Anolis sagrei: one gene and its partners. The protein of the gene in region 1 purifies or fractionates together with the protein of each later gene. This does not show direct contact. Links are inferred from orthologs where the notes say so. Each region holds a gene or a part of one and is shown on either strand. Other genes may lie near its edges.

The links.
Region 2: the proteins of NFKB1 (region 1) and NFKBIE purify together in Homo sapiens (affinity purification with mass spectrometry; 4 studies listed by BioGRID and IntAct, with this or other methods). This does not show direct contact. The link is inferred for Anolis sagrei from reciprocal best matches to the Homo sapiens genes NFKB1 and NFKBIE.
Region 3: the proteins of NFKB1 (region 1) and COPB2 purify together in Homo sapiens (affinity purification with mass spectrometry; 5 studies listed by BioGRID and IntAct, with this or other methods). This does not show direct contact. The link is inferred for Anolis sagrei from reciprocal best matches to the Homo sapiens genes NFKB1 and COPB2.
Region 4: the proteins of NFKB1 (region 1) and LRPPRC purify together in Homo sapiens (affinity purification with mass spectrometry; 3 studies listed by BioGRID and IntAct, with this or other methods). This does not show direct contact. The link is inferred for Anolis sagrei from reciprocal best matches to the Homo sapiens genes NFKB1 and LRPPRC.

The regions. Positions count from the first base shown.
Region 1 is NC_090025.1:27,556,162-27,563,774, reverse strand, and holds the start of NFKB1 (nuclear factor NF-kappa-B p105 subunit), read right to left. Parts: upstream 3,002-7,613; 5' UTR 2,666-3,001; intron 578-2,665; exon of another isoform or gene 562-577; intron 1-561.
Region 2 is NC_090021.1:48,185,554-48,193,327, reverse strand, and holds the start of NFKBIE (NF-kappa-B inhibitor epsilon), read right to left. Parts: upstream 3,015-7,774; 5' UTR 2,861-3,014; coding exon 2,493-2,860; intron 1-2,492. UniProt on the Homo sapiens protein: Sequesters NF-kappa-B transcription factor complexes in the cytoplasm, thereby inhibiting their activity. Sequestered complexes include NFKB1-RELA (p50-p65) and NFKB1-REL (p50-c-Rel) complexes.
Region 3 is NC_090023.1:229,602,821-229,609,954, forward strand, and holds the start of COPB2 (coatomer subunit beta'), read right to left. Parts: upstream 3,001-7,134; 5' UTR 2,890-3,000; coding exon 2,887-2,889; intron 501-2,886; coding exon 363-500; intron 1-362. UniProt on the Homo sapiens protein: The coatomer is a cytosolic protein complex that binds to dilysine motifs and reversibly associates with Golgi non-clathrin-coated vesicles, which further mediate biosynthetic protein transport from the ER, via the Golgi up to the trans Golgi network.
Region 4 is NC_090021.1:28,793,349-28,800,242, reverse strand, and holds the start of LRPPRC (leucine-rich PPR motif-containing protein, mitochondrial), read right to left. Parts: upstream 3,016-6,894; 5' UTR 2,879-3,015; coding exon 2,742-2,878; intron 1-2,741. UniProt on the Homo sapiens protein: May play a role in RNA metabolism in both nuclei and mitochondria. In the nucleus binds to HNRPA1-associated poly(A) mRNAs and is part of nmRNP complexes at late stages of mRNA maturation which are possibly associated with nuclear mRNA export.

The DNA of each region.
Region 1 (7,613 bases):
TCAGGTGGCCTGTTATATTCCCTGGACATCACTCACCACAGGACTTGAAAATAATAATAATAATAATAATAATAATAATAATAATACACCAGATAAGACTATTAAAACACCAAATCATATTAAAACACGACTCAATCAGGTGGCCTGTTATATTCCCTGGATATCACTCACTACAGGTCGTGGCAACAACAACAACAACAACAACATGAAAATAATATTAAAGCACCAGATAAGACTATTAAAACACCAAATCATATTAAAACACGACTCAATCAAGTGGCCTGTTACATTCCCTCCACATCTCTCACCACAGGACTTGGAAATAATAATAATGATATGAAAATAATATTAAAACACCAAATCACAATATTAAAACACAACTAAATCAGGTGGCCTGTTCTATTCCCTGGACATCACTCACTACAGGAGTTGGAAACAACAACAACAACAACAACAATACGAAAATAATATTAAAATATCAGATAAGAATACTAAAACACCAAATCATATTAAAAGACAACTCAATCAGGTGGCCTGTTATATTCCCTCTACATCACTCACCTCAGGACTTGGAAATAATAATAATAACAATAACAACAACAAAACAACAACAACAATAATAATAATAATAATAATAATAATAATAGGTAGGTAGAGGTAGTCCCCTGACATTAAGTCCAGTCATGTCTGACTCTGGGGTGTGGTGCTCATCTCCATTTCTAAGTCGAAGAGCCAGCGTTGTCCGTAGACACCTCCAAGGTCGTGTGGCCGGCATGACTGCATGGAGCGCCGTTACCTTCCCGCCGGAGCGGTACCTATTGATCTACTCACATTTGCATGTTTTCGAACTGCTAGGTTGGCAGAAGCTAGGGCTAACAGCGGAAGCTCACGCCGCTCCCTGGAATCGAACCTGTGACCTTTCGATCAACAAGCTCAGCAGCTCAGTGCTTTAACCCACTGCGCCACCAATAACAATACACCAAATCATAATATTAAAACACAACTTAATCTGGTGGCTTGTTATATTCCCTCCCACCTCAGGACTAGGAAATAATAATAATAATAATAATAATAATAATAATAATAATATGAAAATACAATTAAAATACCAGATAAGAATACTAAAACACCAAATAATATTTAAACACAACTCAATTGGGTGGCCTGTTATATTCCCTGGACATCACTGATCTCAGGACTTGGAAATAATAATAACAATATGTAAATAATACTGAAACACCAAATCATCATATTGAAAAACTTTTCAGTCAGGTAGCTTGTTGTATTTCCTGGATACCACTCACCACAGGACTTGGCAATAACAATAACAATATGAAATTAAATTAAAACACCATTTAAGAATACTAAAACACCAAATAATATTTAAGCATAATCAGGTGGCCTGCTATATTCCCTGGACATCACTTGCTACGGGGCTTTGAAATAATAATAATAATAATAATAATAATAATAATAATAATAATACACCAAATCATAATATATAACACAACTTAATCTGGTGGCTTGTTATATTCCCTCCGCATCACTCACCTCGGGACTTGGAAGAAATAATAATAATAATAATAATAATATGAAAATATGATTAAAACACCAAGTAATATCAAAACACAATCAGGTGGTCTGTTATATTCCCTGGACATCACTCACTACAGGGCTTCGAAATAATAACAATAATAATAACAATAATATGAAAATACTATTAAAACACCAGGAAAGAATACTAAAACACCAAATAATATCAAAACACAATCAGGTGTCTTGTTATATTCCCTGGACATCACTAATCTCAGGACTTGGCAACAATAGTAATAATAATAATAAGAAGAAGAAAATAATAATATTAAAACACCAGATAAGAATGCTAAAACATCACTAATCTCAGGACCTGGCAACAATAGTAATAATAATAATAATAATAATAATAATAATAATATGAAAATAATATTAAAACACCAGATAAGAATGCTAAATCATCACTAATCTCAGGACCTGGCAACAATAGTAATAATAATAATAATAATAATAATAATAATAATATGAAAATAATATTAAAACCCCAGATAAGAATGCTAAATCATCACTAATCTCAGGACTTGGAAATAACAATAACAATATAATATTGTTATACCAAAAACTAATATTAAAAGACAACTCAGTCAGGTGTCCTGTTATATTCCCTCCACATCACTCACCCCAGGACTTGGAAATAATAATAATAATAAGAAGAATATGAAAATTAAATCACTATATAAGAATACTAAAACACCAAATAATATTAAAGGACAACTCAGTCAGGTGTCCTGTTATATTCCCTGGACATCACTAATCTCAGGACTTGGGAACAACAACAACAACAACAATAATAATAGGATGAAGAAAATAATAATATTAAAACACCAGATAAGAATGCTAAAAATCTCTAATCTCAGGACTTGGAAATAACAATAACAATATAATATTGACACACCAAATCATAATATTCAAACACAACTCAGTCAGGTGGCCTGTTGTATTCCCTCCACTTCACTCACCTCAGGACTTGGAAATAATAATAACAATATGTAAATAATACTGAAACACCAAGTCATCACATTCAAACACTATCCAGTCAGGTGGCCTGTTGTGTTCCCTGGGCATCACTCACCTCAGGACTTGGAAATGGTCTTCTTGAACCTCAGGATAGTCCTGGTTTGAAGGGAAAGAGGGAGAGAAGTCCTGGTGGGCTCAAAAAGAACAAATCCAGAAGAGCCTGAAGGAGGAGGAGGCGCCTCGAGGAGTGAGAGAGAGAGAGAGAGTGTGTGAGGGAGAGATTGGAGCAGGCCGGCCCCGCTGCTTCGGGCTTGGTCGTTGGTGTGAAAGCGAAATGAAAGGAGAGAGGAGGAGAGGAAGGAGGCAGGCAGGCGACTCCCGCCAAGCGCGGCCTCCTCCTCCTCCTCCCTCCGCGGAAGAAACACGCAGCCTCCCCTCCTCCCTCCACGCCCTCTCACTTCCTCGCTGGAAATTCCCACTGACGTTGCTGAGAAAAGGAAGGAAGGAAGACAGAAAGGAAAGAAAGAAAGAAAGAAAGAAAGAAGGCCTCAAAAGTGCTTGCTCTCCTCCCTCAGGCCTTCCTTCATTCAGGCCTTAGAATTATAGAATCAAAGAGTTGGAAGAGATCTCATGGGCCATCCAGTCCAACTCCCTGCCAAGAAGCAGGAATATTGCATTCAAAGCACTCCTGACAGATGGCCATCCAGCCTCTGTTTAAAAGCTTCCAAAGAAGGAGCCTCCACCACACTCCGGGGCAGAGAGTTCCACTCCTGAACGGCTTTCACACTCGTGTTCAGATGGAATCTCCTCTCATAGAATCATAGAATCAAAGAGTTGGAAGAGACCTCATGGGCCATCCAGTCCAACCCCATTCTGCCAAGAAGCAGGAATATTGCATTCAAATCACCCCTGACAGATGGCCATCCAGCCACTGTTTAAAAGCTTCCAAAGAAGATGCCTCCACCACACTCCAGGGCAGAGAGTTCCACTCCTGAACGGTTCTCACACTCGTGTTCAGATGGAATCTCCTCTCTTGTAGTTTGAAGCCATTCTTCCGCGTCCTAGTCTCCAAGGAAGCAGAAAAAAAGCTTGCTCCCTCCCTGTGGCTTCCTCTCACATATTTATACATGGCTATCATGTCTCCTCTCAGCCTTCTCTTCTTCAGGCTAAACATGCCCAGCTCCTTAAGCCGCTCCTCATAGGGCTTGTTCTCCAGACCCTTGATCATTTTAGTCACCCTCCTCTGGACACATTCCAGCTTGTCAATATCTCTCTTGAATTGTGGTGCCCAGAATTGGACACAATATTCCAGGTGTGGTCTAACCAAGGCAGAATAGAGCATGGGGAGCATTACTTCCCTAGATCTAGACACTATGCTCCTATTGATGCAGGCCAAAATCCCATTGGCTATTTTTGCCGCCACATCACATTGTTGGCTCATGTTTAACTTGTTGTCCACGAGGACTCCAAGATCTTTTTCACATGTACTGCTCTCAAGCCAGGCATTGTCCCCCATTCTGTATCTTTGCATTTCGTTTTTCCTGCCAAAGTGGAGTATCTTACATTTGTCACTGTTGAACTTCATTTTGTTAGTTTTGGCCCATCTCTCTAATCTGTCAAGATCGTTTTGAATCCTGCTCCTGTCCTCTGGACTATTGGCTATCCGTCCCAATTTGGTGTCGTCTGCCCTTCATCTAAGTCTAAGAGCTTTCTACGTTCTCGCTTTGGATCCACTTGGACTGGGATTTGTAGTTTGGTGAGGTACCACCAGCACCCTTTGGCAGAGAAGGCTTGTGAAGCTACAACTCCCATGATGACACAGAATAATAAAGTTGGAAGTGACCACACTCTGCCATGAAGTCCAACACTCTGCCATGAAGGAAAAGCACAATCAAAGCACCCCCGACAGATGGCCATCTAGCTTCTCACTACCTCTAAGGATGCTTGCTGTAGATGCAGGTGAAACGTCAGGAGAGAATGCGTCTAGAACAGTGTTTCTCAACCTGGGGGTCGGGACCCCTGGGGGGGTCGCGAGGGCGTGTCAAGCGGGTCGCCAAAGACCATCAGGAAACACAGTATTTTCTGTTGATCATGGGAGTTCTGTGTGCCAAGTCCACAGGGCACTCTGGATATAGGTAAACTACAACTCCAAAACTCAATGTCAGTGCCTACCAAACCCTTCCAGTATTTTCTATTGGTCATGGGAGTTCTGTGAGCCAAGGGTTCTGTGTGGGAAGTATGGCCCAATTCTATTGTCAGTGGGGTTCAGAATGCTCTTTGATTGTACGTGAACTATAAATCCCAGCAACGACAACACACCAAATGTCAAGGTCTTTCCCCCCAAACTCCACCAGTGTTCACATTTGGGCATAATGAGTATTCGTGCCAAGTTTGGTCCTGATCTATCATTGTTTGAGTCCACAGTGCTCTCTGGATGTAGATGAACTACAACTCAAAAACTCAACGTCAGTGCCCACCAAACCCCTCCAGTATTTTCTGTTGGTCATGGGAGTTCTGTGTGCCAAGTTGGGTTCAATTCCATCATTGGTGGAGTTCAGAATGCTCTTTGATTGTACGTGAACTATAAATCCCAGCAATGACAACACGCCAAATGTCAAGGTCTTTCCCCCCAAACTCCACCAGTGTTCACATTTGGGCATATTGTGCCAAATTTGGTCCAGACCCATCATTGTTTGAGTCCACAGTGCACTCTGGATATAGGTAAACTACAACTCCAAAACTCAACGTCAGTGCCCACCAAACCCCTCCAGTATTTTCTATTGGTCATGGGAGTTCTGTGAGCCAAGTTGGGTTCAATTCCATCATTGGTGGAGGTCAGAATGCTCTTTGATTGTAGGTGAACTATAAATCCCAGCATCTACAACTTCCAAATGACAAAATCAACCCCCGCGCCCTTCCAACCCCATCATTATTCAAATGTGGGCGTATCTGATATTTGTGCCAAATTAGGTCCAGTGAATGAAAATACATCCTGCATATCAGATATTTACATTATGATTCATAACTAGCAAAATTACAGTTATGACATAGCAACAAAAAAAATTATGGTTGGAGGTCACCACAACATGAAGAACTATATTAAGGGGTCGCAGCATTAGGAAGGTTGAGAAACACTGCTCTAGAACATGGCCATATAGCCTGAAAAAACCTACAACAACCCATCTAGCTTTTGTTTAAAAGCCTCCAAAGAAGGTGCCTTCACTACTCCCCAGGGCAGAGTGTTCCACTGCTGAACAGCTCTCACAATTAGGAAGTTCTTCCTAATGTTCAGGTGGAATTTCTTTTTCCTGTAGTTTGAAGCCACTGTTCCGTGTCCTAGCCTCCAGGGATCCGGCTGTGGCGCAACTAATTAATAGCCAGCTGCATTAAATCACTACTGACCAAATGTCATGAGTTCAAATCCAGCCCGGGTCAAAGTGAACTCCTTACCATTAATAGTCTAGCTTGCTGTTGACCTATGCAGCCCAAAAGACAGTTGCATCTGTCAAGTATGTCCGAGGATGTGGACATGGTGCTTGGAGGAATGAGAGCTACCACATGCATCCTAGACCCCTGCCCATCCTGGCTTCTGAAGGAGGCCAGAGGGGGATTGGCCGAGTGGGTGAAGGTGGTGGTTAATGCCTCCCTTCGGGAAGGCATATTTCCAGCCAGCTTAAAGCAAGCTGTGATAAAACCGCTGTTGAAGAAACCATCACTGGACCCCACTCAATTCGTCAACTATCGGCCTGTTTCCAATCTCCCCTTTTTGGGCAAAGTAATGGAACGTGTGGTGGCCTCACAACTCCAGGCATTCTTGGTAGACACGGATTATCTGGATCCGGCACAGTCTGGCTTCAGGCCGGGGCATGGTACCGAGACAGCTTTGGTCGCCTTAGTCGATGATCTGCGCCGGGAGCTCGACAGGGGGAGTGTGTCCCTGTTGGTGCTGCTGGACCTCTCAGCGGCCTTCGATACCGTCGACCACGGTATCCTTCTGGGACGCCTCGCGGGAATGGGTCTTGGAGGTACTGTTCTACAGTGGCTCCGCTCATTCCTCGAGGGTCGGTCTCAGAAGGTGTTACTGGGGGACTCCTGCTCAACCCCACAACCTTTGTCTTGTGGGGTTCCTCAGGGTTCAATATTGTCTCCCATGTTGTTCAACATCTACATGAAGCCGCTGGGTGAGATCATCCGGAGTTTCGGGGTGCGATGTCATTTGTACGCAGATGATGTCCAACTCTGTCACTCCTTTCCACCTGTCACTAAGGAGGCTGTCGAGGTCCTGAACCGGTGCTTGGCCGCTGTGACGGTCTGGATGGGGGCGAACAAATTGAAATTGAATCCAGACAAGACAGAGGTACTCCTGGTCAGTCGCAAGGCCGAACAGGGTATAGGGTTACAGCCTGTGTTGGATGGGGTCGCACTCCCCCTGAAGACGCAGGTTCGCAGTTTGGGTGTGATCCTGGACTCATCGCTGAGCCTGGAACCCCAGGTTTCGGCGGTGACCAGGGGAGCATTCGCACAGTTAAAACTCGTGCGCCAACTGCGCCTGTACCTTGGGAAGTCTGACTTGGCCACGGTAGTCCACGCTCTGGTTACATCCCGTTTAGACTACTGCAACGCTCTCTACGTGGGGTTGCCTTTGAAGACGGCTCGGAAGCTCCAATTAGTCCAACGGTCGGCAGCCATGATACTAACAGGAGCGGAGCACAGGGAGCACACAACTCCTCTGCTGCACCAGCTCCACTGGCTGCCGATTTGCTACCGGGCTCAATTCAAAGTGCTGGCGTTGGCCTTTAAAGCCCTAAACGGTTCTGGCCCAACCTACCTATCCGAACGTATCTCGGCCTATCAGCCCACCAGGACCCTAAGATCTTCTGGGGAGGCCTTGCTCTCTATCCCGCCTGCTTCACAGGTGCGGCTGGCGGGGACGGGAGACAGGGCCTTTTCTGTGGTGGCCCCTCGGCTCTGGAACGCCCTTCCCATGGAGGTAAGATCAGTCTCCTCGCTGATGGTATTCCGAAGAAGACTAAAAACTTGGATGTTCAAGCAGGCATTTGGCT
Region 2 (7,774 bases), on another chromosome or scaffold:
TTATATCATTATCCCAATACCCCCATGCATATGGGATATATTGAGCATGATGATCAGATCATGATATGAATAAACATAACAGTTTAAATAATGTACCAGAGTAAGGCCTTCTCGCGGACCACCCTGAGAATTTGGGGGGGGGGGGAGCCCATCAAGCCCCCCCCCCCCCCCCCGGCTGCTGTGGAATGTCCCAGGTGGGAGAATGAACTCTTGTCTGCTTGAGGTAGGTGTGAATGTTTCAGTTGGTCACCTTGATTAACATTTAATTGCCTGGAAGCCATTGAAATCTACAAGCATGTGGACAATTTCAACATAAAGGAAGAAACCATGAAAATGAACAAAACCTGGCTACCAGGGTTAAAAAACTCTAAATCTATGCTTGGATGATGAGACGATTGGACATGGTTATTGTAATAATTGTGTATGTTAATTGCTTATTGTTATTAGGGGATAATGTGTTAAGTTAATTGTTTATGTTGCATCGAATTACTGCTGTTTTTACTGTTTGTTAACCGCTGTGAGTCGCCTTCGAGCTGAGAACAGCGGTATATAAGCAAAGTAAATAAATAAATAAATCATAACAGTAAATAAAGAAGAACATTCAAAAACAGGGGAACTCCAGACAAGAAACAGTCAGGGCCAACTAATTACCTCCCAACAAAGGATTCCCCCAGGCAGTAAGAAGCCAGACCTTGAAAACTGCTAGGCCATTCAATGGTAATCAAAGTGGCCAATTGCAACATTCACACCTACCTCGAGCAGACAGGAGTTCTTTCTCCCACCCTGGCCATTCCACAGGTATATAAACCACATTTTCCTAGTTTCCAACAGACCTCACAACCTCTGAGAATGCTTGCCATAGATGCAGGTGAAACATCAGGGGAGAATTCAAAACGATCTTAACCGATTAGAGAGATGGGCCAAAACTAACAAAATTAACTTCAACAGAGACAAATGCAAGATACTCCACTTAAGCAGAAAAAAATGAAATGCAAAGATACAGAATGGGAAACACGTGGCTTGAGAGCAGTACGTGTGAAAAAGATCTTGGAGTCCTCGTGGACAACAAGTTAAACATGAGCCAACAATGTGATGTGGCGGCAAAAAAAAGCCAATGAGATTTTGGCCTGCATCAATAGGAATATAGTGTGTAGATCCAGGGAAGTCATGCTGCCCCTCTATTCTGGCTTGGATAGACCACATCTGGAATATTGTGTCCAATTTTGGGCACCGCAATTGAATCATAGAATCAAAGAGTTGGGAGAGACCTCATGGGCCATCCAGTCCAACCCCCTGCCAAGAAGTAGGAATATTGCATTCAAATCACCCCTGACAGATGGCCATCCAGCATCTGTTTAAAAGCTTCCAAAGAAGGAGCCTCCACCACACTCCGGGGCAGAGAGTTCCACTGCTGAACGGCTCTCACAGTCAGGAAGTTCTTTCTCATGTTCAGATGTAGTTTGAAGCCATTGCTCCGCATCCTAGTCTCCAGGGAAGCAGAAAACAAGTTTGCTCCCTCCTCCCTGTGACTTCCTCTCACATATTTATACATGACTATCATTGAAGGGAGATATTGACAAGCTGGAATGTGTCCAGAGGAGGATGACTAAAATGATCAAGGGTCTGAAGAACAAGCCCTATGAGGAGCAGCTAAAAGAGCTGGGTATGTTTAGCCTGAAGAAGAGAAGGCTGAGAGGAGACATGATAGCCATGTATAAATACGTGAGAGCAAGTCACAGGGAGGAGGGAGCAAACTTATTTTCTGCTTCCCTGGAGACTAGGACATGGAGCAATGGCTTCAAACTACAAGAGAGGAGATTCCATCTGAACATGAGAAAGAACTTCCTGACTGTGAGAGCTGTTCAGCAGTGGAAGTCTTTGCCCCGGAGTGTGGTAGAGGCTCCTTCTTTGGAAGCTTTTAAACAGAGGCTGGATGGCCATCTGTTGGGGGTGCTTTGAATGCAATCTTCCTGTTTCTTGGCAGGTGGTTGGACTGGATAGTCCATGAGGTCTCTTCCAACTCTATGATTCTATGATTCTATGTGAGAGCTGTTCAGCAATGGAACTCCCTGCCCAGGAGTGTAGTAGACGCTCCTTCTTTGAAAGCTTTTAAACAGAGGCTGTATGGCCATCTGTCGGGGGTGTTTTGAATGCAATTTTCCTGCTTCTTGGCAGGGGGTTGGACTGGATGGCCCATGAGGTCTCTTCCAACTCTATGATTCTATGAATGCTTCTGGAACACAACAACCCAGTGGTTCCGGCCATGAAAGCCTTCGACAATGCAAAGTTAAAGCCCATTTGAACATCAGGCAGGCCATGCAGAAGCCTTGGATCTGAAGTCAAAACTATCCTGAGTCTACAGGACAAACTGCAGCCTTCCAGATGTTGCTGTGTCACAACTCCCATCAGTTCTAGCCATGATGCCCAATGATGTGAAAGACAAGGGCAATGGGACTTAAAATTGGGGAGGAGAGGGGAGTGTTGTCACTCACGTATCTCCTTCTTCTGAGACGAAGGTGAAGGTCTCCAGCAGCTGCTGCCTGAGGCGTTCTTCTCCTTGGGGCCCATCCACCTCTTCTCCTTCCTCCTCCTCCTCCTCCTCTTTCTCGGGGGTCTTTTTCAGCGCCGCCAAGGCCTCGACTAAGGAGGCAGAGCCGTAGCTGGAGTCCAGCCTCTCGTCGGCTTCGGCGGGCGCCTCCTTGCCCGGAGGGGCCTCTCGGGGAGCCGGGGAAGGGGGCTCTCCCTCGCCCTCGCCCAGCGGGCCCTGCAAGGAGCGCAGCGAGCCCAGGCCCGAGTCGAACTGCCCGTCCTCCAGAGAGGAGCAGCGGACCGCCGCCCTCGACGACGACGACGACGCCATGGCAGCCGGGGAGGAAGGCGCTCAGCGGAGGAAAGGCCCGGGAAAGAAAGCAGGAAGGCGCCGCATGCCGAGGACAAGAGCGCCTTCGCGGAGGGAAACACCGAAGCTGCAGGTCCGCCGAGCCAGCGCCAGCAGGCTCCGCCCAGGCAGCACCGAGACCCGCCTCCCTCCGAGGGAAGGCCCGCCCGCGCCCTCTTGCGGCCAGAAGTGGGAGCCAACGCTGGAACCACCAGGAGTCTCTTTCTCCTGTATTGTCGAAGGCTTTCATGGCTGGAATCACTAGGTTCTTGTGGGTTTTTTCGGGCTATAGGGCCATTTTCTAGAGGCATTTCTCCCGACGTTTCGCCTGCATCTATGGCAAGCATCCTCAGAGGTAGTGGGGTCTGTTGGAAATAGGACAATGGGTTTATATATCTGTGGAATGGCTGGGGTGGGGCAGAGAGCTCTTCTCTGCTGGAGCTAGGTGTGAATGTTTCAACTGACCACCTTCATTAGCATTGGAAGGCCTGGCTGAGCCTGTGAAAATCTCTTGTTGAGAGGTGTTAAGATGTGCCTGGTTGTTTCCTCTCTGCTGTTTTGCTGTTGTGATTTTAAAGTTTTTTAATACTGGTAGCCAGATTTTGTTCATTTTCATGGTTTCTTCCTTTCTGTTGAAATTGTCCACATGCTTGTGGATTTCAGTGGCTTCTCTGTGTAGCCTGACATGGTGGTTGTTGGTGTGGTCCAGCATTTCTGTGTTCTCAAATAATATGCTGTGTCCAGGCTGATGAAGGTCCACCCAGAGGAAAAGTGTTCCTGCTATACATCAAGGGAACTACTTCAACCAGAGAAGTCAGCCATAGCAGAGCACCTGATGAACCAGCCTGGACACAGCATATTATTTGAGAACACAGAAATGCTGGACCACACCAACAACCACCATGTCAGACTACACAGAGAAGCCATTGAAATCCACAAGCATGTGGACAATTTCAACAGAAAGGAAGAGACCATGAAAATGAACAAAATCTGGCTACCAGTATTAAAAAACTCTAAAATTACAACAGCAAAACAGCAGAGAGGAAACAACCAGGCACAGATTAACACCTCTCAACAAAAGATTTTCCCAGGCTCAGCCAGGCCTTCCAATGCTAATGAAGGTGGTCAGTTGAAACATTCACACCTAGCTCCAGCAGAGAAGAGCTCTCTGCCCCACCCCAGCCATTCCACAGATATATAAACCCATTGTCCTAATTCCAACAGACCTCACTACCTCTGAGGATGCTTGTCATAGATGCAGGCGAAACGTCAGAAGAAATGCCTCTAGAAAATGGCCCTATAGCCCGGAAAAACCCACAAGAACCTACTCTTTCTCATGGTTTTGAGAAACAACAACAACAATAATCCCCCCATCGGGTGCCACCTTGTCATTGGCGGGGGGGGGGGGGGGCTTAACTGCTTCTATGATGTTGGGAGCTGTGCTGGTAGTAGTGTAAAGCCAAAACCAAGGTTACAGCAATATCTGTTTTAGAACTTCAGTATGCTGATGACAATGTCATCTGTGCACATTCAGAAGAAGATCTACAAGCCACTCTAAACACCTTCACAGAAGCATACGAGAAGCTCGGCCTGTCATTGAACATCGAGAAAACCAAAGTGCTGTTCCAGCAGTCACCAGCCAACCTTTCTCCAATGCCAGAGATACAGCTTAATGGTGTAACATTAGAAAATGTTGACCACTTCTGCTACCTTGGCAGGCTCCTCTCCACCAAAGTCAACATTGACACCGAAATACAACTCCGCCTGAGCTCTGAGAGTGCAGCATTTCTCCGAATGAAGCAGAGACCGAGACATCCGTAGGGAGACCAAGGTGCTTGTTTATAAAGCAATTGTCCTCCCAACCCTGCTATACGCCTGCGAGACGTGGACTGTCTACAGGCGTCGCATGCAACTCCTGGAACGATTCCATCAGCGCCGCCTCCGGAAAATCCTGCAAATCTCTTGGGAAGACAAGCAGACAAACGTTGGCGTGCTGGAAGAAGCAAAGACCACCAGCATTGAAGTGATGGTCCTCCGCCATCAACTCCGCTGGACCGGCCACATTGTCCGGATGCCCGACCACCATCTCCCAAAGCAGTTGCTCTACGCCAAACTCAAGAACAGAAAATGGAATGTTGGTGGACAGGAAAAGAGATTCAAAGATGGGCTCAAAGCCAACCTTAAAAACTCCGGCATAGACACGGAGAACTGGGAAGCCCTGGCCGTTGAGCGCTCCAGCTGAAGGTCAGCTGTGACCAGCAGTGCTGCAGAATTTGAAGAGGCACGAATGGAGGGTGAAAGAGAGAAACATGCCAAGAGGAAGACACGTCAAGCCAACCCCGACCGAGACCGCCTTCCACCTGGAAACTAATGCCCTCACTGCGGGAGAAGATACAGATCAAGAATAGGGTTCCACAGTCACCTACAGACCCACCAGAACACTGATCCTGGAAGACTATCCTACTCGGCCAATGAGGGATGGCCTAAGTAAATAAGTAAGTAAATAAAATTACCAGCAGGTTCAACCAAGCCAGAGTGGTCTCAACTGAGAAGTAGAACTAAGTGCACCCAACCCATTTAAATATGGTGAAACAAACTCTAAAGAAGTCTATACTGGCTTGGTCATCACCCAGGATAATAAGGACCGCGACAAGTGCTTCTCCTGGGCACCCGACAACAAGTGGGCTACAGGAACCAGGACCCGCTACTGAGCAACCAGGGCATCGGCCTGTAGGGCAACTGGAAGCAAAACAACTACAGAAGTGGCAGAAATTTTCAACGCCACACACCGAACTGTCATAAACTGCTATTATAGCCAAATTCAGACAGACAGAGTTTTGGAGTACAATATTCCTGACCTCACGATTGTGTTAAAAAGCAAAGTATGGATTGTCGATGTTGCAATCCCAGGTGACAGCAGGATTGAAGAGAAACAACTGGAAAAGCTGACACAATATGAGGATTTAAAGATCGAACTGTTAAGACTCTGGCACAAGCCAGTCAAGGTGGTCCCAGTGGTGAGACATGGCTTTGGGACCAAGATTTTGACAAGTAATTGGAGCAGTGACTACGAATAAATGTAATTGACAAATGGAACGGCCCTAGATTATGTTTTGGATAACTGCCAAGTTTTTAAACTGTGTTTTTTTTTAAAAAAAATACATTACAACTGTACCTTTGGTTTGCTCCTGATATGATAAATAAAACCATTATCATCTGCAATCCCTCCTGGCCCAGTATGATTGACTTCCAGTAGAGCCTTGGGGATTTGCTTGAGGAGCCTTCCTCTTGACACATTTCTCCCTATCGCTCTCCATTCATGCCTCTTTGAATTCCACAGCACTGTTGGTAATAGTGGCCTCCAGCTACAGCACTCAAGGGCCAGGGCTTCCCAGTTCTTGGTGTCTGTGCCACAGCTTTTAAGGTTAGCTTTCTCTCTTATCATAAAGTTGCAATGCATGGATTCTGTTACATCCTGGCTCCAATATACCACTGGAATAAATCCTGCTATGAGTGAAACTTCAGCCTGTATTTTGCATTTCCAAGAAAAAGAAATCCGAATGTAACTTGAGGTGACTCAGTTATGTGGGGTCATGCTCACTGCTACTTCTGGAGAAAACACTCATCGCTGCTGCCAAAAGTGACCACATAATTCTTCAGGGCTGCATTTCCGATAGTTACTTTCTCAGTGATTTACTGATGAACAGATTGTGAAATTTGCCTGTAAGCAGAAGATTGCTTCTGTAAAACACAAACACAGGCACTACCAATCTACAAAAAAATTAAAACCAAGATTAAATACATAGAATATTCCAAACGACAACATATGGTTCTTAATTATACACCAAGTTTTAAAAATATATCACATAAAGCAGATATATGACATTTTTCACCTAGGAAAGAAGCAAAATTGCTTTGTGTGAGCATTAAAATTATTCTCTCTTCCAATAACTTTGTTAATGACTAATTAATTAAAATACCTGGGCTTTTTTATCCTGACTGAATCAGCTATCTTTAATGGAAAACTAGCTTGATGCTAGAATTCAAAAACATTGTTTTTGGGCTGCAAATAGTGGTCATTCTGGCTGGGGGATTCTGGGAGTTGTAATTCAAAAGGTAACTTTTTATACATCCTCCTTGATTATGGTGATAGAAAATTGCCATTCCCAAGAAGATATCGAAACAGCTTCAATTTGTTCAGCAGCACTGTATCTAATTAAGCAGCCTCTTAAAAAAGAATACAATGTTATTTATCTTCAAAACTTTTAGATGTTTCCAAATACTTTTTCTGACTTATGAAAGATAGATGTGACATAGTTGTTTTATTTTCCATGTACACATACTACATTTTGAATAAAAGGTTTGCTGAAACATGTGGATAAGAGCCTATCTCTGCTCTTTCCATATTATTTTTGCCTCTGGTACCAAATTTTTTGTTACAGAAGTAAACACATCTAGAGTATTTTACTCACTGAACTATACCAGCACTATGTTTGAGTATCGACATGCCTTGTGCTGCAAATAGAAACCCAATGTCTGCTGGAGGGGATCCTTCAATTTCAATAAATTTAAATTAAAATAGCTATGGGGAATGGGCATGGATCAGCAATACAGCTCTTACTAACATTGCAGATGTTCCAACATGAAGATTACAAGAGCCTATCACACATTTCTTCATCTGTTTTGAAAATGCACCAGATGCCCTCTGATCTTGGAAGCTAAGCAAAGTCAGCTCTGGTTAGTACTTAGACAAGATATCACTACCAACTACCTGCAGGCTGCATTTCTGAGGAAGAAACTGACAAAACATACCTAAGAATTCCTTGCCTAAGGAAACCCTATGAAATTTGTGAGGCCACCATAAATTGACAGGCGGCTTGAGAATGTTCTAAGATC
Region 3 (7,134 bases), on another chromosome or scaffold:
GACCTTACATTACTAATTTATGCAAATGTCTTTTAAAACCACCTAGACATGAAAAGCCACATTAAAATTTAGAATTTTCAGAAAAAGAAATAACTTACAAAAAAGTAAAAAAAAATGCTAAGGGAGAAACACTTACTTAATAAATCTTGGTCAGGGAATTAACTGAGAAAATGGCATAAGAAGTGAAATTATATCGATGTAATCGAGAAAGATGCTGTAATTGCTGTTAAATTTGGGGAAAAAACCACCACTGTGATTTTGACAACAGAATTCTTGCACCACATTTAATGGTGACCTCACATGTAGTAGCACACTAAAAAAACTATGGTTTTATAATCAACAAGTCTTATATGAAATCTTACCTGTGTTTCATGATTCCAGACACAGACACTGCCATTGTAAAGACTAGCCAACATCCATGGCTCTGTAGGATGTAAGTCTACACTTTTCACACGGTCAGATCGAGCTGTGAGCTTACGCTTTATATCAAGTCGGAGAGGCTAAAAAGAAGACAGTTGTTTAAGATATTTATGTCACAAGAAGGACCAATTCGAAACAACCAGTGATATTTATACAAGAGACACATTGCTTTGACCTCAACACAGTCAAAATCTTTCAGATATTGGCTTGAGTAACTCAAGAATCCATTCCAAACCAATACATACTACAAACGTGAACACATCTTTACTAGTCTCCACTGAAATATTCTTATGCAAAGCAAACATGCTGCCATATATCCATACTAAAGAGCTGGAGACTGTTTTGAATGCAAGATTTTTGCAAATATGAAAACTGTTAAGGAGAGATCCAAGATCTGGACGAAGGAGGCTACTGCCATTTTATAAAGTGGAACAGATAAAAAGGCAATATCATGTCCTTCATAAACTATGCACAACTTATATTAAAGTATAGAAAGGGAATGAAGAAGCATCAAGGGGATAGCTGTAATAAGTTAAAAATAGGCTAAATGTTCCTTAAGAACATTTATTTTTGTTTACAACAAAAAATATTAAGTTCATTTCAGACCTGTTGCTAACCACAATTGACAGGTCTGGACAAAATGAGCCACCACACATTCTTGACTGCTGGAGGTATTAATAATTATTGTTCTTTCTTAGGAAATGTGAATTAAAGCAAGAACTCAAGCATTTCCCTGAAATTGTACACATCCACAGATTAGTGGATCAAACAATAGATTGTGTAAACTCAGAGAATTTGCTTCTTTTGTTGCAACTTACTGAGTTGCTGCTTTCACTAAGATATTCACCATGACACATATTTGGGTCTCTACCTCACGAGGGCAGAATTGCGGGTTCTGAAATTTTAAAAAGTGGATTCTGATAAACCATTATGAAGACTTTCTTTTTACGTACACTTTTCGGACAGCAGAATGTTTCCAAAAGCAGTTGGCTCACCTTCATTAGAGATTTCTAATCAGAGATCAGTTGGTCATTTATTAGGGATGCTGTAATAGATGCTGCATCTCCAAGACAGAGTAAGGTATCATCCTTTCTAAAACACTGAATTGTGACTGTGCCCTCCAAAAAACTCTTTCCTGGTTAGCCACAACCAATTCTAACCCTATTGTGGGAGTTGATGTCCAAAACATCTGGAGGGCCCATGTTTGCCCATGCCTGATCAACAGTGTAGAATGAATGGAGTTTGATACCACTTTAACTACCATGGTTAGATGCTGGATGAGGCTTTTTAGTCTTTTCTGTTAAAGAATGCTGATGCCCTATCAAACTAAAACTCCCATGACTCCATTGCATTGAACCATAGTGTCAAACTGCATTCATTCTATGCTGCAGATGCCCCTAAGGGCCCTCCCACACAGCCCTATATCCCAGAATATGAAGGCAAAAAAAAAATCCCACATTATCTGAGTGTGGACTCAGATAATCCAGTTCAAAGCAGATATTGTGGATTGGGTTGTTGTAGGTTTTTCGGGCTATATGGCCATGTTCTAGAAGCATTCTCTCCTGACATTTCACCTGGATCTATGGCAGGCATCCTCAGAGGTTGTGAGGTCTTAGAATCTTAGAATCATAAGAGTTGAAAGAGACCTCATGGGCCATCCAGTCCAACCCCCTGCCAAGAAGGAGGAAAACTGTATTCACAGCACCCCTGACAGATGGCCATCCAGCTTCTGTTTAAAAGCCTCCAAAGAAGGAGCCTCCATGACACTCCAGGGCAGAGAGTTCCACTGCTGAACAGCTCTCAGTCAGGAAATTCTTCCTAATGTTCAGATGGAATCTCCTTTCTTGTAGTAGTAGCAGTAGTAATTTTATTGATTAGCCCTTAGGCCATATCACAATAAGAAACAGAACAACAAGGCCTTGTAGTTTGAAGCCATTGTTCTGTGTCCTAGTCTCCAGGGCAGCAGAAAACAAGCTTGCTCTCTCCTCCCTATGACTATGTCTCACATATTTATACATGGCCCTCATCATGTCTCCTCTCAGCCTTCTCATCTTCAGGCTAAACATGCCCAGCTCTTTAAGCCGCTCCTCATAGGGCTTGTTCTCCAGACCCTTGATCATTTTAGTTGCCCTCCTCTGGACACATTCCAGCTTGTCAAGATCTCTCTTGAATTGTGGTGCCCAGAATTGGACACAATATTCCAGGTGTGATCTGACCAAGGCAGAATAGAGGGGTAGCATGACTTCCCTGGATCAAGACAGGTCTTGTGGGATTTCCTGTGGGACATAGTGGGATTTCCTGGCTTGATATTCTTGGACATAGGGCTGTATGGAAGGGCCCTTAGAAAGGCCTTTCTCTCCCCCTTTCCCTCCCCAAACATCCATCCCTGCCCGAGGAAAAGGAGGGGCTCTGCAGAATGCCAAGCCAAGGCCCGTCTTGAGGAGGCCTTCAGGAGCCTGGACTCACCATGGCTTCAGCTCCCGCTCAGGGCTGCTTCAACCTCCCGAAGCTCCCAGGTTCGCTCACTGCCCAATTCACCGACGTGGAGCTTCCGGCTTTGGCTGTTCTCGCGAGAAATCCAAGCCAACGCGAAAACGCCAACTCAATCACTTCCGCCCAGTGCTCTTCGTTTGCGGAGGGAGGGAGCGAAAGAGACACAATAGATCTACGAAACGTATAGACTGCCCATTCATAGGGTTATTGAGGTTCTCCTTTTGGAATTATTATTATTATTATTACTAGCCATCCCCTGCCACGCGTTGCTATGGCCATGTCTAGTGATCTGGGAAATAAAGTAACGAGAAAGTGTTGGTTTCTAATACATGTAATTTCTTTATGCTTGTGGGTAAACAGTATTTCTTGTTGTTTCTTTGTCAGTGTTGATGTGGAGAGTGTCTGATTTGCCTTCTCTGGAACATGCAACATATAATTGTCCTTTTTTAGGGGTCCCTTTCAAATCTATGATACTATATTTGATACTATATCTCTCTGTGTGTGAATCATATATATATATATATATCTACATCTATGGCTGGATGGCTCTTTGTCAGGAGGGCTTTGATTATGTTTTCTTGCCCTGGTGAAGGGAGTTGGACTGCATGGCCTTAAGTATTTTTTGTTGGTCATGGGGGTTCTGTGTGGGAAATTTGCCCCAATTCTGTCGTTCGTGGGGTTCAGAATGCTCTTTGGGACCTTGACTCCCAAATGTCAAGGTCCCAACTCCCAGTAACTACAACTCCCCCAAGCTCCATCTGTGTTCCTAGTTGGGCATATGGAATATTCGTGCCAAGTTTGAACATTATGAACATTACATTTTTATTTATATAGACCAGACGTCCCCTCCCATGCATTGCTATGGCTCAGTCTTGTGATCGGGAAAATAAAGTAATGAGAAAGTGTTGGTTTCTAATATATGTAATTTCTTTATGCTTGTGGGTAAACAGTATTTGATTATGTTTTCTTGCCCTGGTGAAGGGAGTTGGACTGGATGGCCTTAAGTATTTTCTATTGGTCATAGGGGTTCAGTGTGGGAAGTTTGCCCCAATTCTATTGTTCGTGGGGTTCAGAAAGTTCTTTGATTGTAGGTGAACTGTAAATCCCAGTAATTACAACTCCCAAATGTCAAGGTATATTTTCCCCAAGCTCCATCTGTGTTCCTAGTTGGCCGTATGGAATATTCGTGCCAAGTTTGGTCCAGAGCTATCCTTGTTTGAGTCCACAGTGCTCTCTGGATGTTGATGTACTACAACTCCCAAACTCAACGCCAATGCCCAGCAAACCCTTCCAGTATTTTCTGTTGGTCATGGGAGTCCTGTGTGCCACGTTTGGTTCAATTCCATCATTGGTGGAGTTCAGAATGTTCTTTGATTGTAGGTGAACTATAAATCTCAGCAACTACAACTCCCAAATGACAAACTCTATTATTTTTTTTTTGAGTGATGGTCACTCCTTGGGTTAGTAGGTGCCTTGTGGCCAAATTTGGTGGCAATTAATCCAGTGGTTTTTTGAGTTATGTTAATCCCACAAACGAACGTTACATTTTATATAGATTACTAGCCACCCCCTGCCACATGTTGCTGTGGCCCAGTCTTGTGATCTGGAAAATAAAGTAAAGAGAAAGTGTTGGTTTCTAATATATGTAATTTCTTTATGCTTGTGGGTAAACAGTATTTCTTGCTGTTTCTTTGTCAGTGTTGATGTGGAGAGTGTCTGGTTTGCCTGCTCTAGAGCATACAACATAGAATTGTCCTTTTTTAGGGGTCCCTTTCAAATCTATAGTTGTGTGTGTGTGAATCATATCTATATCTATGGCTGGATGGCTCTTTGTCAGGAGGGCTTTGAGTACGTTTTCTTGCCCTGGTGAAGGGAGTTGGACTGGATGGCCTTAAGTATTTTCTGTTGGTCATGGGGGTTCTGTGTGGGAAGTTTGCCCCAATTCTATTGCTAGTGGGATTCAGAATGCTCTTTGATTGCAGGTGTACGATAAATCCCAGTAACTACAACTCCCAAATGTCAAGGTCTATTTCCCCCAAGCTCCATCTGTGTTGGGCATATGGAATTCCTAGTTGGGCATATGGAATATCCGTGCCAAGTTTGGTCCAGATCCATCATTGTTTGAATCCACAGTGCTCTCTGGATGTCGATGTACTACAACTCCCAAACTCAATGTCAATGCCCAGCAAATCCTTCCAGTATTGTCTGTTGGTCATGGGAGTCCTGTGTGCCATGTTTGGTTCAATTCCATTGTTAGTGGAGTTCAGAATTCTCTTTGATTGTAGGTGAACTATAAATCCCAGCAACTACAACTCCCAAATCACAAACTCAATTTTTTTTTAGTGATGGTCCTTGGGTCACTAGGTGTCTTGTGGCCAAATTTGGTGTCAATTCATCCAGTGGTTTTTGAGTTATGTTAATCCCACAAACAAACATTACATTTTATTTATATAGATAATAATTATTATTATTTTACTGTTTTACTGTATTCATCAAGAGCTGTCTTTTCCCCCAAGGAACTATTTAACAGCTTCATGACATCCATACTTAGCTGGAAGCAAGTTCCGCTCAAGGTGAAGAATTCTTTTAAATTCAAAACCATTTTATGCCCTATTGATTCTTCCATTTCCTTCTGTACCTTATTATAAAATTTTTGTACTCTGTCACATTTCCACCAGTATAGGAGCCATTTTTTCCACATCTGTGCCAACCCAATTTTGAGGTTGATTTAGTTATGTGTGCTAATTTAATTGGGGTTCTGTACCATTTAGTCAATATTTTCCTTTGTGTTTCTCTAATCCTTATGTACTTGATATGTTTAATTGAATTGATTGATCCAGTATTCAGTGTCTGAATCATTGTTATTCAGGTCCTCTTTCCATATCTCTACCAATATTTGTTTCAATTTATATCGATTTCCAACAAATTTCTTGTATATTAAACCCATCAGGCCTTTCTCCTTTTCTAATTTTAACTTTAAAATTAGATCAAAATCTGTTTCTGGGCCTTCATTTTTCCTCCAATTCATGATCCTTTGTTTCAGTCCATTCCAAAGAAGCCAGTTACAATGACAACAATTGTCCATAATTGTCTCATCTGGGTTTAGGAAATCTCTTATCAATTTTTATCCATTTTGTTTTAAATTTGTAGGCTGTTAGGAATTGTGGGAGTTGAAGTCCAAAACACCTGGAGGGCCAAAGTTTGCCCATGCCTGCTCTAGATCATCTTAACAGTTCTACTACTTTTTCAAGAAACTTTTGTATACCTGTGTTGTCCTATTACTGGGTTTTTTGTTATCTGCTTTTTATTTTTAAACTTCTGTCTTTCAGTGTGATTGTTGCACACAGGCACACAAACGAATTTCTAATTCATGCTTACAGCACATACTGCATTTTATGTTTGAATTGTAGAATGATCACAATGGTGTCATATCATTGCACAACTGGGACAAACCCTGCGGTTTGTGTTAAATAATGTATTTCAACTTTGCCTTTGATGAGCCCTAGGCTATACTTGTAAGGCTTAATCTTAGCTATTATGCTTTGTAGTTTAAATAAATTCCTCTGAATCCAGTGGACTGGGAATAAAGCTACTATTTTACATACATATAGCCTGAATATGATCTATTGAAAACAGTGAGACTTTCTTCTGAGTAGCTGTGCACAAGATTTTATTTTTTTTCCTTATTTTTTTATTTAACAGTTGAAAATCTTCATTAGGTAGAGTCATTGCAGTAGTGTCATTTCGTAAAGACATTTTTTGAATTCAGCAGGAGCAGAACTTGTTTCAAAGTGTTATCTGATCCTTTTTATAAAAATGTAACAAGATTTTTAGAGAGATAACATGGAAGTTGTATCAGTCTTAAGAGTGGCTTCCACAATCATTAGAACCGACAGTCAAGGATTCTAGGATCCAAAATTCAACACTGTAGAACCCACAGCTTAGTACCACTAATCTAACAGTTCACTCCAAGGGTGCATCTACACCAGTGGTTCCCAGCCTTTGAGCCTCCAGGTGTTTTTGACTTCAGCTCCCACAGTTTCTAACAACTGGTAAGCAGGCTGGGATTTCTGGGAGTTGAAGACCAAAACACCTGGCGGCCCAAACCATTGAGCTACACTGAACAATTAATGAGAGTTGTAGTTTTACAAGGTCTTTAGCCTTCTAAAGAATGCTGGTGCCCAAACAAACTGCAGCTTTCGAGATGTAATATATTACCCA
Region 4 (6,894 bases), on another chromosome or scaffold:
TATTGTCTACCTCAACACCTTTGATGACATTTCCAGCCCTGCTTACTGGATTATTGCACTTCCCATGCACTCCCTCCACTAAGTGATGTTTCTTTATCTCAGCCATATTGCTTGATGTTTGCTTACAATTGTGACTGTTTTTATATTTTCATATTTGATGTTTTAATTTGTTGTGTTTTATTGTAATTTTTGGGCTAGTCCCTTGTAAACCGCCCAGACTCTTCTAGGGGAGATGGTTGGCGGGGTATAAAAATAAAGTTATTATTATTATTTTCCTGCTTCTTGGCAGGGGGTTGGACTGGATGGTCCACGAGACCTCTTCCAACTCTATGATTCTATGATTCTAAGTCTGCCCATGACTGATCTACACTGTAGTTTTGGCTCACTTTAACTGTCATGGCTTCAGTGCTATGGAGACAGGAGCAGAATTCAAAACGATCTTAACAGATTAGAGATGGGCCAAAACTAACAAAATGAAGTTCAACAGTGACAAATGCAAGATACTCCACTTAGGAAGAAAAAATGAAATACGAAGATACAGAATGGGGGATGCCTGGCTCAACAGCAGTACGTGTGAAAAAGATCTTGGAGTCCTTATGGACAACAAGTTAAACATGAGCCAACTATGTGATATGATGGCAAAAAAGCCAATGGGATTTTGGCCTGCATCAATAGGAGTATAGTGTCTAGATCAGGGGTCCTCAAACTAAGGCCCAGGGGCCGAATACGGCCCTCCAAGGTCATTTACCCGGCCCTCACTCAGGGTCAACCTAAGTCTGAAATGACTTGAAAGCACACAACAACAACAATTCCATCTCATCAGCCAAAAGCAGCCCCACACTGCCTACTGAAATATGAATAAGTTTATATTTGTTAAAATTGTTCTTCATTTTAATCCTTGTATTAAAGTGTTTTTTGCACTACAAATAAGATACTGCAGTGTGCATAGGAATTCATTCATTTTTTTCCCCAAATTATAATCTGGTCCTCCAACAGTTTGAGGGACTATGACCTGGCCCTCTGTTTAAAAAGTCTGAGGACCCCTGGTCTAGATCCAGGGAAGCATGCTATTCCTCTATTCTGCCTTGGTTTGACCACACCTGGAATATTGTGTCCAATTCTGGGCATCACAATTGAAGAGAGATATTGACAAGCTGGAATGTGTCCAGAGGAGGGCAACTAAAATGATCGAGGGTCCGGAAAACAAGATCTATGAGGAGCGGCTTAAAGAGCTGGGCATGCTTAGCCTGCAGAAGAGAAGGCTGAGAGGAGACATGATAGCCATGTATAAATGTGTGAGAGGAAGTCACAGGGAGGAGGGAGCAAGCTTGTTTTCTGCTGCCCTGGAGACCAGAACAGGGATCAATTAATTAATTGATTAATTAATCTTTCTTTCTTTCTTTACTTACTTACTTACAGTATTTCTATACCGCTTTTCTCACCCCTAGGGGGACTCAAAGCAGTTTACACACATAACTGACAAAACTTCAGTACCATACATTGGACACTGACGCGATGTCAAACCATAACAACCACAATAATAAAACCACAATTAAACATAAATCATAATTAGACAGTACATTAGCAATCATTAAAACAATAAAGAATAAAAACAGTCTCGCCAGTCACATTGTCATTCTAGTCCATGTCCTTTAAACTCTACAAACATCTACTGTCCGAAGGCCTGATCCCAAAGCCATGATTTTAATTTATTTCTAAAACCCAGGAGAAAGGGAGCAGATCTTACCTCACTTGGGAGTGTGTTCCATAGGTTAGGGGCCACAGCCGAGAAGGCCCTGTCTCTCGTCCCCACCAGATGCATTTGCGCAACTGATGAGCGAGAGCAGGGCCTCCCCGGATGATCTTAGATTACGAGATGGGTAGTAGGGGTGGATCGGACAAGTAAGCTGGCCCAGAACCGTATAGAGCTTTATAGGTCAAAACCAGCACTTTGAATTGGGCTCGGAGATGGACTGGCAGCCAGTGGAGCTGGCACAACAGGGGAGTGGTATGCTCCCTGTATGTCGCCCCAGTTAGTAATCTGGCTGCCCCCCGTTGGAGTAGCTGAAGTTTCCGAACCGTCTTCAAAGGCAGCCCCACGTAGAGCGCGTTGCACTAATCTATTCGGGATGTAATCAATGGCTTCAAACTACAAGAAAGGAGATTCCATCTGAACATGAGGAAGAACTTCCTGACTGTGAGAGCCGTTCAGCAGTGGAACTCTCTGCTCTAGAGTGTCGTGGAGGCTCCTTCTTTGGAAGCTTGTAAACTGAGGCTGGGTGGCCATCTGTCAGGGGTGCTTTGCAATTTTCCTGCTTCTTGGCAGGGGGTTGGACTGGATGGTCCACGAGGTCTCTTCCAACTCTATGATTCTATGAGAGCTGTTCAGCAGTGGAACTCTCTGCCCTGGAGTGTGGTGGAGGCTCCTTCTTTGGAAGCTTTTAAACTGAGCTCTTCCAACTCTATGATTCTAAGTTTGCCCATGACTGATCTACACCGTTTGGGCCCACTTTAACTGTCATAGCTTCAGTGCTATGGAACCCACGTGGATCCATATTGGGCATTTGGGGAATGAAGGGATGCTCAACCTGTAGCAGCATTCAGGCAGGCATCGGCCAAGCCGAAACAGAGCAAAGGAAGATCAAAATAAAGGCCGCCCTCCTGACCTTCCCCTCCCTCTCACTCCTTTTCTCTTCACAGAGGCCTGCATGACCCTCAGAAGCCAGGCCAGACACACTCACCTGCAGGCCTTGCTGGAAGCCGCCGCTGAGGAGAGCGCCGAGGCCGGGGAGGAGGCGAGCGAGGCGGCGTTGTACCCGGCTCGGAGGGCCCGGAGGCCGGAGCGGAGCCACACAGCGGTCCTGAGGAGCCCGGCCATGGTGTTCACCTCAGGCACGCACCGGCCAAGGAGGAGCACGTGATTAGCGGCGGGCGAGCCCACTTCAGAACTCAACGTGGGGGGAGCGAGGAAGCAGCAAATGAGCGTCCCTTTCTAGCACTCGCGTTCTTTTACACAAAAGAGGCCTCTCACGCACTCCAAGTGTCGGACTGTATTTCTCTTTCCTCCCAAAACCCCTCAATGGACTCGCTGGGACTGCGTTTATTTTTTTTTAATCTCCCCCCATAATGGGAGAAAAATGGAACGGTCCGAAGCGAATAGCGTGGGAAAGCGGCAGCTTGGAGGCCAATTAGAACCCGAACCCGAAGTTGGTTTTTCTATTTCTAAAAGAAGCCACACAGTTCAAACCAAATAGAGAAGTTTGGAGAATTAATGTAAAATTACAGAAGAAAAAGGAAATATGAATGGCGCTTCTAGGAACACAGCACTAGAATGAAGGGATCCAACTTCGGGAAGGTTTTTGATTGGCCTCTTTGGAAGTCTCTTAAGAAACTCAAGGCCGGCTGTTTTGAGCATGCGCAGAACGTTGTGGAGTGCGCATGCGCAATTAAGGAAAAAGTTTTGAGTGGTAGGGAGGAAGTCTCTCTTAAGAAACTCAAGCCGGCTGTTTTGAGCATGCGCAGAAGAAGGTTGTGGTTGAACAGTAGGGAGGAAGTCTCTCTTAAGATCAAGGCCGGTTGTTTTGAGCATGCGCAGAAGAACGTTGTGGAGTGCGTATGCGCAGCTAAAGAAAAAGTTCAAAGAGTTCTGCATTGACCTCTTTGGAAGTCTCTTAAGAAACTCAAGGCCGGCTGTTTTGAGCATGCGCCAAAGAACGTTGTGGAGTGCGCATGCGCAGCTAAGGAAAAAGTTTTGATTAGTTCTGCATTGACTGTTATCCTTACCTTGAAGGATTAGTGCAGTTTGACACCGCTTGTTAAACAATGTCAAGCTGAAATCCCCATAGCTTTGGAGAAAAAAAGGTTTTGAATTAAACAATTAACAATTGTAAGAAAAACACAAATCTAGTGTGCATCTACACCAGGCATGGGCAAACTTCGGCCCTCCAGGTGTTTTGGACTACAACTCCCACAATTCCTAACCAGCTGTTAGGAATTGTGGGAGTTGTAGTCCAAAACACCTGGAGGGCCGAAGTTTGTCCATGCCTGATCTACACTAGAATTAATGCAGTTTGACACCACTTTAACTGCCATAGCTCAATGCTATGGGATCCTGGGAGTTGTAGTTTCACAGAGCCTTCCCCTGCCAAAAGGTACAACTCCCAGGATCCCATAGCTTTGATTATAGGGTGCAACTATACTGTACAGTTAATAGTTTGACACCACTTTAACTGCCATAGCTCAATGTTATGGGATCATGGGAGCTGTAGTTTCACAGAGCCTTCCCTGCCAAAAGGTACAACCTCCAGGATCCCATAGCTTTGATTATAGGGTTCAACTATACTGTACAGTTAATGCAGTTTGATACCACTTTAACTGCCATAGCTCAATGCTGTGGGATCCTGGGAGCCAGGCATGTAGCCGGGGGGGGGGGGGGGGGGGCTTGAGGGGCTTCAGCCCCCCCCCCCCCCCAAATTCTCATGGTGGTTCGCGAAAAGGCCTTACTGGTGCATTATTTAAACTGTTATGTTTATTCATCTCATGATCTGATCACCATACTCAATATATCCCATATGCATGGGGGTATTGGAGTAATGATACAAAAGGTTTGCTAGGGTAGACCCTCTTTCACTCAGACTCAGCCCCCCCCCCCCGGAAACTCAGCCCCCCCGAACCCCCCCTGAAAAAAAATCACCCCCCCCCCCCCCCCGAAACAAAATCCTGGCTACGGGCCTGCTGGGAGCTGTAGTTTCACAGAGCCTTCCCTGCCAAAAAAGTACAACTCCCAGTATCCCATAGCATTGATTATAGGGTGCACCTATACTATAGAGTTAATGCAGTTTGACACCATTTTAACTGCCATGGCTCAGTGCTATGGGATTCTGGGAGCTGTAGTTTCACAGAGCCTTCCCTGCCCAAAGATACAACTCCCAGGATCCCATAGCACTAAACCATAGCAGTTAAAGTGGTGAAAAATTGCATTAATTCCACAGTGTAGATCAAGCATGGCCAAACTTGGGCCCTCCAGGTGTTTTGGACTCCAACTTCCAACTTGTGGAAGTTGGAGTCCAAAACACCCGGAGGGCCAAAGTTTGCCCATGCCTGGTGTAGGTGCACCCTAGAATTATGTTTAATTTGTTTTTACGATTATTGTTTAATTGAAAACTTTTTTATTTTGTTTTCCAAAGCTATGTGGATTTTGTATTAACATTGTTTTTTAAACTTTCATATTTTGATCACATATATGGGCCAATTTGCTTTGTATCATTTTTGATTGTTTTGTTTGTTTTAGAATATATATTTCTTGCATTTTATCAGAATGGTTTGTTTTGCAGTTATCTGTATGGTTTCCGATTTGTTATTTATGGTTGTGTGTCTACACATACATTTTAGATTGTATGCCGTCAACAGGACCCAGTTTCTCATTTTAATGCACTTTATAAATAACACTATGTAACACGATTTTTGTTCCTGGGTTATAAATGTCACTTCCTAATTGGTTCTGTCATAAAAACATAGTAAAACACTTCTTTTATTTGAGCCTTGATTTTTTTCTTGTAGGGGGAATTAATTCTCAACTCAACTTTACTTTTTTGTCTTACTGCTCAGCTGTCCTGGCCAGACCCTAGAGAGCCTCCCCAAATCTGCCCCCAATGCTGTCACCACTTCTTGAACCTTTGTCGCTGCCTCCCAGTAGCTGGTTTTTGTTGCTGCCATCACCTGAAGCCCCATCTTCACTGCCATGTAATGCAATTTTAGAATGCAGATTAAGGACTTCATCCCATGGGTTTAGGGCTCCGTTTCAATGCGCTTCAGAAATGGAGTACCACAGGAATCCCACAGAGGCCATTACATGGCATGGGAGCACTTCCAGTGAGACTCATTGGGGCTCCATTTCCACAGTGCATAGAAACAAGAGCCCAAACTCATCTTCAGGAGTCAGGTATTATCCAACTCGGAATGGAGAAAAGCGGGAGAAAGACAGGCATCAATGTAGTAAGGATCTCAGATGGCTGGCCATCCCAGAAGATGGTAAAGGATCAGAGGAAACGGGTAAGGCGGTTCCCTCCACTTTCCCCTCTCTTGTGGGATGAATTCCTAACTGCACTGAACAGTGTAGGCTTACATAATCCAGTTCAATGCAGTTCAGTCTACATTATATGAGTCTACACTGCATTATTTGGCAGTGTACATGGGGCCTTGGTAACCCTGGGTTTGTTTTGAAGGAAGAAGATCCTTCTGAGAGCTGGAGTTGTGTGGTTCATTGGCAGTGATTTGGGTTGCAGGAGGCAGGGCTTTGAGGTTTTCTCTTTGTGGACTTTCTTCATCAGCTGGTTCTGGTTCCCTGGCTCGAATCAGCTGGGAAAGCTGTGCTACTTCTGTCATTCTTCCTCAATCCTGCTTGTGCCTTTGGGAGTGGAACCAGCATCAGTGAGGGGAGGGAGACGGAAGGAAGACCGTGCCTCCCCATTGCTTCTCCAGTTGCCACCTCTTCACACTCCTGGGACACAGGGCTTCCTCCCGTCTCCCCATCCCCTCACCACTGCTATGTCCACTCTTGATGGTGGCAATCAGGACAAAAAAAGCCAGAGCAGTTGCACAAGTTTCCCAGCTGCTCTGAGCCGACAAAACCACATGGCTCCCACTCTCTCAGCCAACTCTCCTGGCCCTCTCCCTTTGCTTCTCTTCTCCATTGCAACCTCCAGAGAGCAAAAGAGAGACCATGCAGTTTCCACTATCTAAGCCCCTGCCAACCCCAATCCTCACCCTTCAAAACAAACCTGGGGCAATGGCAGTGACAAAGAGTGGCAGCTGCAGGAGGCAGTGACTGTATAAAAGATGCAGGGCTGGGGAGACAGCAGCAGCCTTAGGTATTGGGGAGGTTTTGTGAGGGCT